3 linked regions of the Arabidopsis thaliana genome follow. The protein of the gene in region 2 interacts with the protein of the main gene of each other region in a pairwise test. Each region holds a gene or a part of one and is shown on either strand. Other genes may lie near its edges. The genes, in order: AT4G00270, AT3G06220 and AT1G12890.

Region 1 (3,810 bases), on a different chromosome or scaffold from region 2:
CATGTCAACTGATTTTAAATAACAAAATCTTAAAATAAATATTAAAATAAAAATGATAATACATGAATAGTGTCTTGGTAATAGGAGGAATACATAGAAAGATACACTGATTTTAAATAATAAAATATGAAATAAAAATACATAAATGATGTATTGGTAACATAAGCACTACATGCACATGTCAACTGATTTTAAATAACAAAAATGTTATGTTAAAACAAAAATAAAAATACATGAATGATGTCTTGGTAAGAGAAGGACTGCATGCATAGATCAACTGTTTTTAAATAACAGAAATCTTAACTCTAAATATTAAAACAAAAAGGAAAATACAGAAATAATGTCTTGATAATAGGAGCACTATATGCAAAGGTAAACATGTATTTTTTCTGCTTCCCTCCCATTCAAAGCCTTAATCAATGAAGTTTTGGCTAAAAGAATGATCTTTGACCGATGGAGTATTGTGTCGCTTGATGTGATCTTTTTACATTAGAATTGTGGTCATTTGTCTCAGGGAAAAGAGGAGCTATACAATATAACAAGAGGTCCTTCTTGAGGTGGTGAAGATCATAAAGAAGCACGGTTACGTTCCTTTTGTAATATTCCTTGGATCTCGAAATCGAGTACAAGTTCCTATCATGCTAATGGCGGAGATGGATGAAGGCATTTTACATTGTAATCTGTTCATTTAATTTGGATTGCTTTCATTGTTTCATTTGTTTGACATACATAGACACTAATAGTTGAGGATTATGTATTTACAACAATAAAGTGTTCCACTACACAAGGTACAATCGATATATATATAGTGTTAACTCTCATTTGTGTATATATGCATATCAGTTTGTAGGTGTTACTATGATAGTAGTACATTTATTAATTTATAAAAATTTATACGTAAAATACAATATTAATTTTTTAAAAAGAAAAATTTTAATTTAGTTTTTCTTTATGTTTTATTGTTTGTATATTCTGTTAGATTTTTTTTTATTACTTTTTTTATTTTTTCTCTGTAAGATATTGTGCATGTATACGACGTTAACGTGAGACTTAATCCAATTTTTTATTACACAAATCTTAACAATGATTTTTCATATAAAAAAAGTTACAAAACCAAATATGACGGATCAAATACGCAAAGAGTTATGTGAATACAAAAGAGATCACACCAACTATACTCTAGAAAGAGTTGCAATTATGACTTGAACAAAAGTTTCATATAAAATTAGTCTTTGAATGTATGCTAAAGATTTATGATTATTAATTTTATGATATTACTGGTACCATATTTTTACATAGGGATTTCAAAAAAAATATTATCTTATTATCTTATCGATTTTGGTTAATTTTTACATTACCCCGATTTGAGACCGACAAAATTTATTAATTTATCGTGTAATATGTTTTGTTCAAATACCTTTTAATATCTATTTAATAATAAAAAAATATTCAATCAGAAATGGATAATATATAATATAATTATTTACTTAAAATATATCAGCAATGAATCTTAAAATGTAGAAAAAACTAAATTTTAATTTATTATATAAAAAAGGTAGATAAAATATTTTATACTATTAAGTGACTAAAATGATAGATTTTTGCAAGAGCAAAATTGTACTATTGATGAATATTAAACAGTAGAAAAAAAGATGAAAGTGTTTGTTTTGTTATGAATGTTGAGAAAAGTATGGCCAAGTGTTACTCATCCTATTTTGCTTTTCTTTTTCTCTCGGGTTTCACTTTTTAAAGGTCGTGAAGATTGGGAATCACTGCTCTGCATGCGCCCTAGAATCAGCAAGTCTAAAGCAAGCAATAAGCATGGTGACTCCGAAGCAGATCGATTTCTCTTCCTGTGTTGGTGCTGATAACTCCAACGGTACCCTCTCCCATCGAAGATCTCCACGGAATATTCCTTCCTCAAAGCGTGCTGCTTCCGTCGCAGAAGAAGAGACTATGAAGAAGAAGATGAAGATGAAGAAGAAGAAGAAGAAATTGGATCCGCCGTTGATCGTCCGGATCTGGAACGAGGAAGATGAGCTCTCTATCTTAAAGGTATTGTATTGATCTTCTCCATTTATAGTTTGATTTGGTTTTGCATTGTGATTTTCTAAAACCAGATTTTCGAAATTGCTCAGGGGTTAGTTGATTACAGAGCTAAGACAGGATTCAATCCCAAAATTGATTGGGATGCGTTTTGTAGTTTCCTCGGAAGTTCTATCGTTGAGAGATTCTCCAAGGATCAGGTTTTGAGTAAAATCAGGAAGTTGAAAAGGAGGTTTCATGTTCACTCGGAGAAAATCAATCAAGGGAATGATCCCAAATTTACTAGGTCTAGTGATTCTGAAGCCTTTGGGTTTTCTTCGATGATTTGGGGACAAGGTGATGATGATGGTATGGATAAGGAGCACGAGGTAAACGGAAATGGTGCAGCGGAAAACCGGACTAACGAGAGCGGGGAGGAGATGTTGAAGGAGCACGAGGAGGAAGTGGCTAATACTGAACTTTTAAATGAGAATGGGGCAGCCAAAACAACAGAGAATGGGACTAGTAGTGGAAAAGAGAGACATGATGAGGACAATGATGATGATGATGAGTTATGCGCGGTGCAGGATGCATTTGAGGCGGTGATGTCGCAAGGTTTAAGTGGTTATCAAAAGAAGTTGCAGCTTGAGAAGCTGATGAACCTTGGAAATGGTAAAAGAAGAGAGTTGAGTGATGAATGGAAAGCGTTATGTGTTGAGGAAACAAGATTCAATATCAAGAAGCTTAGATTTTCCGCCAAGCTTGCAGAGGCAGCTAATGATAGTTAGATGAAACCAATATGCCCTTGTAGCATTTGGTGTTGTTTAGGTTCTTAGTAAGTCATAAGCTCTAGTCTGTTCAGTGTATTTATCTTTGGATCCTGTCTTTCTTCTACTTGGGCAAGTGTTTGTAAGATATTCCACTTTTTACTCAAGTATCCACAAGAGCCAATGTAGTAGAGTGGCTTGTGCAAGAGTCTAGAGTCTAGGGTTAATAATGTGCTTTAAGGCATGCTTGTGTGTGTGCCTAAGAGTGTAGTGAAGTAGTATAAGTAAGAGTGTGTGTGTGTCTTGTAATATTATCCAAGATATTAACAATGTAGAAGATTAAAAGAAAAATGGTTTTTGTTCTTACTCTCTAAGACAATGAAACCTTAAGAGTTATATCTTACCAAATAAAAGAGTCAAACATTGATTCATTTCAATATAGAGTTTCATTTGATTTCTAGCTTCACCTTGGAGCAGAACTTAAGGACGCAACTTGTTTCTTCTTCCCAAATCAGTTCCAACATGATGGATTCGTTTGCCTTCACATCGTTAGCTTGGATGAATCCTTGCCATCCTCCTACCATTCGTAGTCTTTTTCTTTTGTCGTCCTCGAACCGCAGAGTCGTTAACCACTTCACACCATGTTTATCCAACAGAGTCATTTTAGTTTCTTCATTGATACCATTCATCCTCGTGAAAGGAACCGGAAGACGCTGAAACATAGATTCACACAAAAGATTCTCATTCTATAGACTGTTAAAAGACAATGGCTTGGAATGATGAAACGTACCAGTAGAGAACTTTGGATTGTATAAGGTGTTAGAGTTAATGTCACAAATCGGTTTTCGGATAGTAAAGACTTTCTTCTTGAGATTTTCTCGTCGTGGATACTCTCTTCATCGCTTTCTTGCTCTGTCGAAAGAGAGACTACTTCATTAGCTTCTTCTGGCTCGTTGGGGATCAAACGTAGAACAAGAGTTGCTCTTTTCTTTATCAGTTTGAGAGTTATGATACTTCC
Region 2 (3,905 bases):
CTCTTTGTACACTCTCATGTTTAGCCTCGCATCTTCCTGTCTCGATCTTTCGTTTGTGATATATATGATCAAGATCAAGCTTACGGAAACGTAAAAGACACAACGAATTTAACGAGTTCAGATCTCCAATGTGGAGACCCTACATCTCGCCGGGAGTTTTACTCCCGGAAATCCACTAATATCATCACTTCATCTCCGATCCTTTACAAGTGGTAGACCAAAACCTACTTTGGTGCATCTTTTGATCTCTTTGGATCACTGAGAGTCTAATGTTTTCAGTAACCAATACAATATCTTCGGAGATAACCCTAACCCTAATCTTGGTGGAGAAGAAAAGGGTGGTTGAGAAGCTGTGAAGCTGTCTATCTCTCGCTTGCTTTCTTGCGTAAACAGCAGTCCATGAAACTCTTCAAATCGTCAGAGCATTCTTCGGGGGCTTTTGGTGGTTCTCCAAAACAAACTGCACATACTATCGCGGCTTGGTCTGGTAGCATCGGGTAGTAACCCACCAAGATCTCGAGCATCGTAAGCCCAAAACTCCATATATCTCCGGCGTAAACGTTTGATTTGTCTTCTTCTGTAACACCATCAGCTTCACTATCGAGTCTTTCAGGACTCATGTATGCGAACGTGCCTACGAACGAGTTGCACTTGTTTAAAGACCTGACCACGATCTTGCTCACTCCAAAGTCTGCGATCTTGACTTCTTCTTTTGAGCTACGTAGCAGATTCGCTGGCTTGATGTCTCTATGAACGATCTTGTGCTCGTGCAAGTAATTTTTTCCTTCCAAAACTTGACGAGACATCAAAGCGAGTTGTTTTTCTGTAACCCCGCGTAGAGACTCGAGCGAGCCAAGATCCATGTAATCCATTAGAATAGATACTTCTCCGGAAGGATTCTGGAAGATGTCGTGACACTTTGCGACGTAAGGAGAGTTGACCATGCGAAGGATTTCGATCTCACGGAGGGAAGTAGAATCCCAGTTTTCTTTCACTTTCTTCAACGCGTAGATCTCTGAGGTTGTCTTGTCCTTAACTTTGAATACGGTTCCTCCGTTTCCACTGCCAAGAACACTGATTCTGTCCAAATTAGCTACAGAAAAAGTGTTGCTTGCGCAGGAAGAAACTGTTGCAGAGACTTTTGTAGCGGGTATGATGGGGAAGCGGCAAGGGGGGATAGTAGTAGGAGCTTGTATAGGAGACAGTTTGAGGTTAAGGAATTGATTATCTCTAACCATAACCATCTTCTTGTTGTTGAATGATCGATCTTCAAGAGCTTAATTAGGGTTTTGTTTTTTGAGAGTAGAGGGTCGGACAATAACAATTGATTAATATAGGAATCCACATTTTTTTTTTTTTGAAATTCTTTATTTTCATGATTTAGTTTACATGTCAAATATTCATATTTGGTTTTGGATCGATCAGATACGCATACCATTATTATTTCCCAAAATTTCAAATCACGTAAAAGATTTATAAGTTTGTTGAGAATTTTTTTTTCATATCAAAATTGAATATTAACTAAACAATTACCCCCAATAAGTTTTTTTTGACAAAAGAGTACAGAGAGATTGATGACGTACAGAAGAGGAGAAAGCTTTACTGTGGTATTTCCATTTTGGTTGTTGTCATTGACTCATCTTTTCATTTACTGCTATCATTGACTGTAATATAGTACAAACTATGGGGTTGTTTTGAAAAATTATATGGGGTCAAATGGTAAATAAAGTAAAGATGATTAACCCAAGTACACCACCACCTCTCTCTCTATACTCTCTCTCTCTCTGTCTCAGTCACTCTCACACAAGTTACTTTTCTCCGGTGATCCAAATCCTGCTTCAGTCTCTGGACTTGTTTTTTTTCTTCTAAGTGACCCTTTTTGACCAGATTAGCTCAAATACTTGGTAATAATTTCCTCTCTTTCTCTCAGTTTCTTAGAAATTTTTATACATTTCGTACGTTACATAATTCGTCTGCTCTCTCTTTACCTCACAGACACAAAGAGTTCCAGCAACTTCAATGGCTTCCGGTGATGTACTTCCTCGCTTCTACACTGTCTTTCTTTCCTGTGTCAGTTCCAACTCTTTGGTAAGATTTTTCTCTTGATTTTTAGTTTGTTTCTGAAACAAATTAGGTTATGTGTCTGAGTTGGTTTCTAGGAAAAATCTATTTGCTTTATATGTTAAGTCTTTGTTGTGAGTAATTTACGTCAGTAATTCTTTAAAGATTTTAACTTTTTTACCAACTTCGGTTGATATTGCTAGAATCTGTCAAGAGTATAGAGTTGGATCTCTCAAGTTTTTCTCAAATGTTTAAAGATTCAAAAACAGAGGTTTTCTTTAAACAAAAATTCGTATGGTTAGTAGTGTTTACAAATCCCTAGATGAAAAAATTGGTAAACATAACCCATCTTTGTTGGATTTTGAACTTATTTATGAGTATGCTATTTGGAACATAGTTTTGTTTGTCTAGTGAGACATATAACCATCACTCTCCTTATTGTCTCATGTGTAAAAAGCCTCTGTTGCAGAAAGAGTCTCTCGTTTATGTTGTTTTGCTTCTCATTCATTTCTACAGTTTTAACTTGTGTTACATTTTCTTGTGTTGAGAAGCTGATACCAAGGTCTTACTACGAACATTTACCGCGTCGTTTACCCAAAACAGCGATTCTCACGGGAACTGGTGGAAGAGTTTGGAAAGTAGCAATGATGAGCAAGCGAGAGCAAGTGTATTTGGCACGAGGCTGGGAAAATTTCGTGGCCGATAACGAGCTAAAAGATGGAGAGTTCTTGACGTTTGTTTTTGATGGGTACAAAAGTTATGAAGTAAGTATCTATGGTCGCGGTAGCTGCAAAGAGACGCGAGCAGTCGTTCATGTTGAAGAGATCTCTGATGAGTCAGAAAGTGACAACGATTCTCTTGGTAGCCTTGTTGACGTAACACCCATGCCAGCGGAAGAGAACTCTGATGATACTGAAGGTGACAATGATTCTTGTGATAGCGTTGTTGACGTAACTCCCATGCCAGTGGAAGAGATAAGTGATGCAAGTGATAGTGACTATTATTAAATCATCTGATTGATGCTGAACTATTCGTATGTTTAATTCACTTTTCCTCTGTGGACATGAATTCTCTTATATCACTTCATCCCTGAAGTTGTTTTCGTCATTGTTAGGATTATAAACTCTATTTGTATCTGAGAAATTGCCACTATTACCAGAAGTTTAAACAATGGTTTAATGAAGATCACTATTACGAGAGAAGTGTATCTTTCTTTACAAGGTATGTGTATATACTGATGGAATTTGAGATATATCTCTAATTTGAACTTTGAGCAGCTTTTTAAATAATTGTAAAAATAAACGATATGTTTCATAAATCATAATTAGCACGCTCTGAGTTTCTCAAGAGGAACATGAACCTTAAGAATGTTCATCCTCAAGCATTTTTAAAGCCAATTCAGCTAACCAATGAACCGTTCTGCTCTGTCGGCTCACTCCAACCGTGCCAGAGAAAACATCAAAGTTCTCAAGCTCAGCCGTAGTTTCCAGAACCTTCACGAGCTCTTTCTCCATACCCAAATCCCTGAACATCCCAACGTTCTCCACATCATCTTCCATCATCCATATCGCAAGCTCGATCACAAACCTCCTGATTCTTGGAACCTTGATTGCTGGCTTGTCATGCTTTTTCAGAATCGAAACCAGTGAGTTTGCAAGTTCTTGCTTTTTGATCCCTGAATCCGTCAGAACAATGTTTGCTTCTTCTGAACTCATGAATTTGAACACTTGTGCTGCCAATCCTAGCATCACTTCCAGCAATTTATTGTCACCTGATGTTATTGACTTCAGTACCTGCAAGAAAACAGAACAAGTTTTAATCTTTTGGGGGTTCAACGCAGTATT
Region 3 (3,290 bases), on a different chromosome or scaffold from region 2:
CAGAATCAGATCCTTTTAGTGACTTGCTTCGAATTTGCGTTCTTAAGGTTCTTCTTGTTTTTGAGCTCTAACAAAAATAATTTATTTATTTTCATGTATAAATATTAAAACTGATTATATAGAGAGACAGGTGATAGTTAGCAGTGAATGCTCGTTGGTACAACTCCTCATTCTTCTCCGCAAAAATAGCAAGTTATTTAACAAACAAAAAAATTCATATAAACGATTTTATTTTTTTGTGACTTTTGAGATTCGTTAATTCTGGAAAATTTGTTTATTTTCAAAACAAGAATATGGATTCGTCATAAAAGCTAGGCTATGATCAACATGTTTCATACAAACAAGAACAGGGCTTTTCAAGAAAGTAGCATTCTCTGTTTCTGTTGTCTCAATCCCTTTTGATTTTTTTTGTGTTGGCAGATTCATCAAATGTCGGTTCTTTCTTCTCGGACAGGACGAGATCGTCAACGTTACGACAACAACTTCCGTCTCGTTTCTGGGTACCAACAACTTACACAACAAAAAATCATTTTGTTTTGTTTTTTTGTTTCTTGCAAATCTTGAAAATTTTCAAGAAACCCCAAAAATCAGAAAACAAAATTGTTGATTTTCTTGTTGTTTGTTTCTCTATACATTATGAACAGATGCATTCCTTATAGGCTGATGAAAGCTGACGAAACTGAAGAAGACTCAGGTGTTGACTTTGTAAACAAACTTGAAGTTCTTATGGTTTCATCTCCTAATCGTCATGATCTTGTCTTCCCAAAGGTCTTTTTTTGAATTGAAAAATCATCCTCTGTACTATCATTTGTAATTGCTCATGTTAATTTGTTGTGTATATTATTATCAGGGAGGATGGGAAGATGATGAGACTGTTCTTGAAGCTGCTTCTCGTGAAGCCATTGAAGAAGCAGGAGTTAAAGGAATACTTAGAGTAAGTTTACACCTTTATTAAACAAAACACTAAGAAAGCTATTTTAAAGTTTTTTGAATTAGATGTGTTTTGGTCATGTTTTTGTTTATAGGAACTTCCTTTAGGAGTTTGGGAATTTAGAAGCAAAAGTAGCACAGTGGAGGATGAATGTTTAGGTGGATGTAAAGGATATATGTTTGCATTAAAAGTTACCGAAGAACTCGAGGATTGGCCAGAGCGAAAGAATCGTGAACGAAGATGGGTAAAGCTTAAGATTCAAATGTGTAGTTATTCATATAAGTAAGTACAATGTTTTAACTCTGAGATTACTCGAAAATGTGCAGTTGACTGTTAAAGAAGCGTTGGAGCTTTGTCGGTATGAGTGGATGCAGAGAGCACTTGAAGAGTTTTTGAGAGTAATGGAAGATGAAAGAAGATTGAGAACAGAGGAAGAGACAGTGCATGATTCTTCAAAGCTAGAGGAGGAGAGTCAAATAGATCCTTGGTACTGTTTTGTAGTTAACTAGTTTTTCATATTCTTTAGCTAACGTAAACAAATTGAAAAAATGAGAAGTAAAGTGACTGCAACACATGTGACATGATATAATCTCAAATCATCTGTCTTGAATCTTGATATCTGTCTGTTTGAAGTGATAAAGATAGAGTTGTCTTTATATGCAATTGGGACACCAAATGCAAAAAGACAAAGGACATAGAAGAAATTACCTAATCACACACAAATCAATGCTTAAGGCTTGACTTCAAAATCAACTGAATACACTTAAGAATCCAAATCCCTAAGCTTATGTCACATGTTTAGTTAGGTTTCTTGACATTTGTACAGTTTTTGTCTGAGTCTATAATGACAATGTCCTTGTCACAACTTGGCTTTGCTCCATACATTCCTTAATATGAATCACCTCACAGACTAAAGTGTGGAAAATATTAAGCAAAAGGACAAAAATAGAGAAAATATGAAACACTTCCTTGTTTCTGCTGACACAGTTTACGAAGGAGAAATAAGTCTTTGGAGTTAAATTTTTGAACTCCCAACAGTTTCCTTAAATTTAATGCCAAATCCAAAAAGGCATCAATCAAGTTCACACACTCTTTTGCTCTTCTTACTCAATATAGAGTTTATATAGCAGCATAAGGAACCTCAAAGCTCAAGAGACTTAAAGAGAGAGAAACATTGATCTCTGAATATTGTGAACATGTTGAAATCAAGTAACAAGAGAAAAAGCAAAGAAGAGAAGAAGTTACAAGAAGGGAAGTACCTTGGAGTGAGGAGACGTCCATGGGGAAGATATGCAGCTGAAATCAGAAACCCTTTTACTAAAGAAAGACATTGGCTTGGAACGTTTGATACAGCCGAAGAAGCTGCTTTTGCATATGACGTTGCTGCTCGATCCATCAGCGGCTCTCTAGCTACAACAAACTTCTTCTACACTGAAAACACCTCTTTAGAAAGACATCCACAACAGTCTTTGGAGCCTCATATGACTTGGGGATCTTCTAGTCTCTGTCTTCTTCAAGATCAGCCTTTTGAAAACAACCATTTTGTTGCTGATCCTATCTCTTCTTCTTTTTCTCAAAAACAAGAGTCTTCTACCAATCTCACTAACACTTTCTCACATTGTTATAATGATGGTGATCATGTTGGCCAAAGCAAAGAGATTTCTTTACCTAATGATATGTCAAACAGTTTATTCGGTCATCAGGACAAAGTCGGTGAACATGACAATGCAGACCATATGAAGTTTGGCTCAGTTCTCAGCGACGAACCTCTCTGCTTTGAGTATGACTACATTGGGAATTATCTTCAGAGTTTTCTCAAAGATGTCAACGACGATGCTCCACAGTTTCTTATGTGAGCTTGTATTACCGATCCTTCAATTTATGTAATATAAAAAGTATTGTATCTTTCTTTAGTGTCAAATGCATTCCCAAACCAGAGTTGTGTATTAAGCAGAGGATGTAATATGTTTGAATCAAGTTTATTACTATAAATTATAGAGCACAAATACATAATAAACTCAGGAACTACAATTATACATTCCGAATCATGTAACAGTAAAAAATAATGGAGCAGACATCAAGAGGTTGTTGAGTCTTCACTTCCAGTTATTGGCAACAATGTCAGCCAAATCAACGACTCTCTGTGAGTAACCCCATTCATTGTCATACCAAGCAATCACTTTAACCATATCATCTCCCATAACCATTGTGAGGGAAGAATCAATAGTGGAGGATACATCAGAGCACCTGAAGTCAACAGAGACAAGAGGCTCATCACAGACGTCAAGGATACCTTTAAGCTCTTTCTCAGCTGCATCTCTGAAAGCAGCATTGACTTCTTCAGCAAAAGTTTTCTTGG

What was found.
Region 1: the proteins of AT3G06220 (region 2) and AT4G00270 interact in a two-hybrid assay, tested with the Arabidopsis thaliana proteins (one large-scale study listed by BioGRID).
Region 3: the proteins of AT3G06220 (region 2) and AT1G12890 interact in a two-hybrid assay, tested with the Arabidopsis thaliana proteins (one large-scale study listed by BioGRID).

Annotation. Positions count from the first base shown.
Region 1 is NC_003075.7:116,480-120,289, reverse strand, and holds AT4G00270 (DNA-binding storekeeper protein-related transcriptional regulator), read left to right. Parts: upstream 1-1,646; 5' UTR 1,647-1,821; coding exon 1,822-2,055; intron 2,056-2,138; coding exon 2,139-2,813; 3' UTR 2,814-3,205; downstream 3,206-3,810. Other genes in the region: MEE45 (Transcriptional factor B3 family protein), read right to left, coding at 3,239-3,538, 3,583-3,810. UniProt on the Arabidopsis thaliana protein: DNA-binding protein, which specifically recognizes the GL1 enhancer sequence. May be involved in leaf initiation. May play redundant roles with GPL1 and GPL2 in cytokinin responses by regulating the transcript levels of type-A ARR response genes.
Region 2 is NC_003074.8:1,882,835-1,886,739, reverse strand, and holds AT3G06220 (AP2/B3-like transcriptional factor family protein), read left to right. Parts: upstream 1-1,769; 5' UTR 1,770-1,904; intron 1,905-1,995; 5' UTR 1,996-2,019; coding exon 2,020-2,088; intron 2,089-2,612; coding exon 2,613-3,068; 3' UTR 3,069-3,392; downstream 3,393-3,905. Other genes in the region: MKK8 (MAP kinase kinase 8), read right to left, coding at 363-1,244; AT3G06210 (ARM repeat superfamily protein), read right to left, coding at 3,423-3,854.
Region 3 is NC_003070.9:4,389,607-4,392,896, forward strand, and holds AT1G12890 (Integrase-type DNA-binding superfamily protein), read left to right. Parts: upstream 1-2,064; 5' UTR 2,065-2,127; coding exon 2,128-2,787; downstream 2,788-3,290. Other genes in the region: NUDT12 (nudix hydrolase homolog 12), read left to right, coding at 430-500, 645-768, 851-934, 1,026-1,175, 1,258-1,440; GAPA-2 (glyceraldehyde 3-phosphate dehydrogenase A subunit 2), read right to left, coding at 3,028-3,290.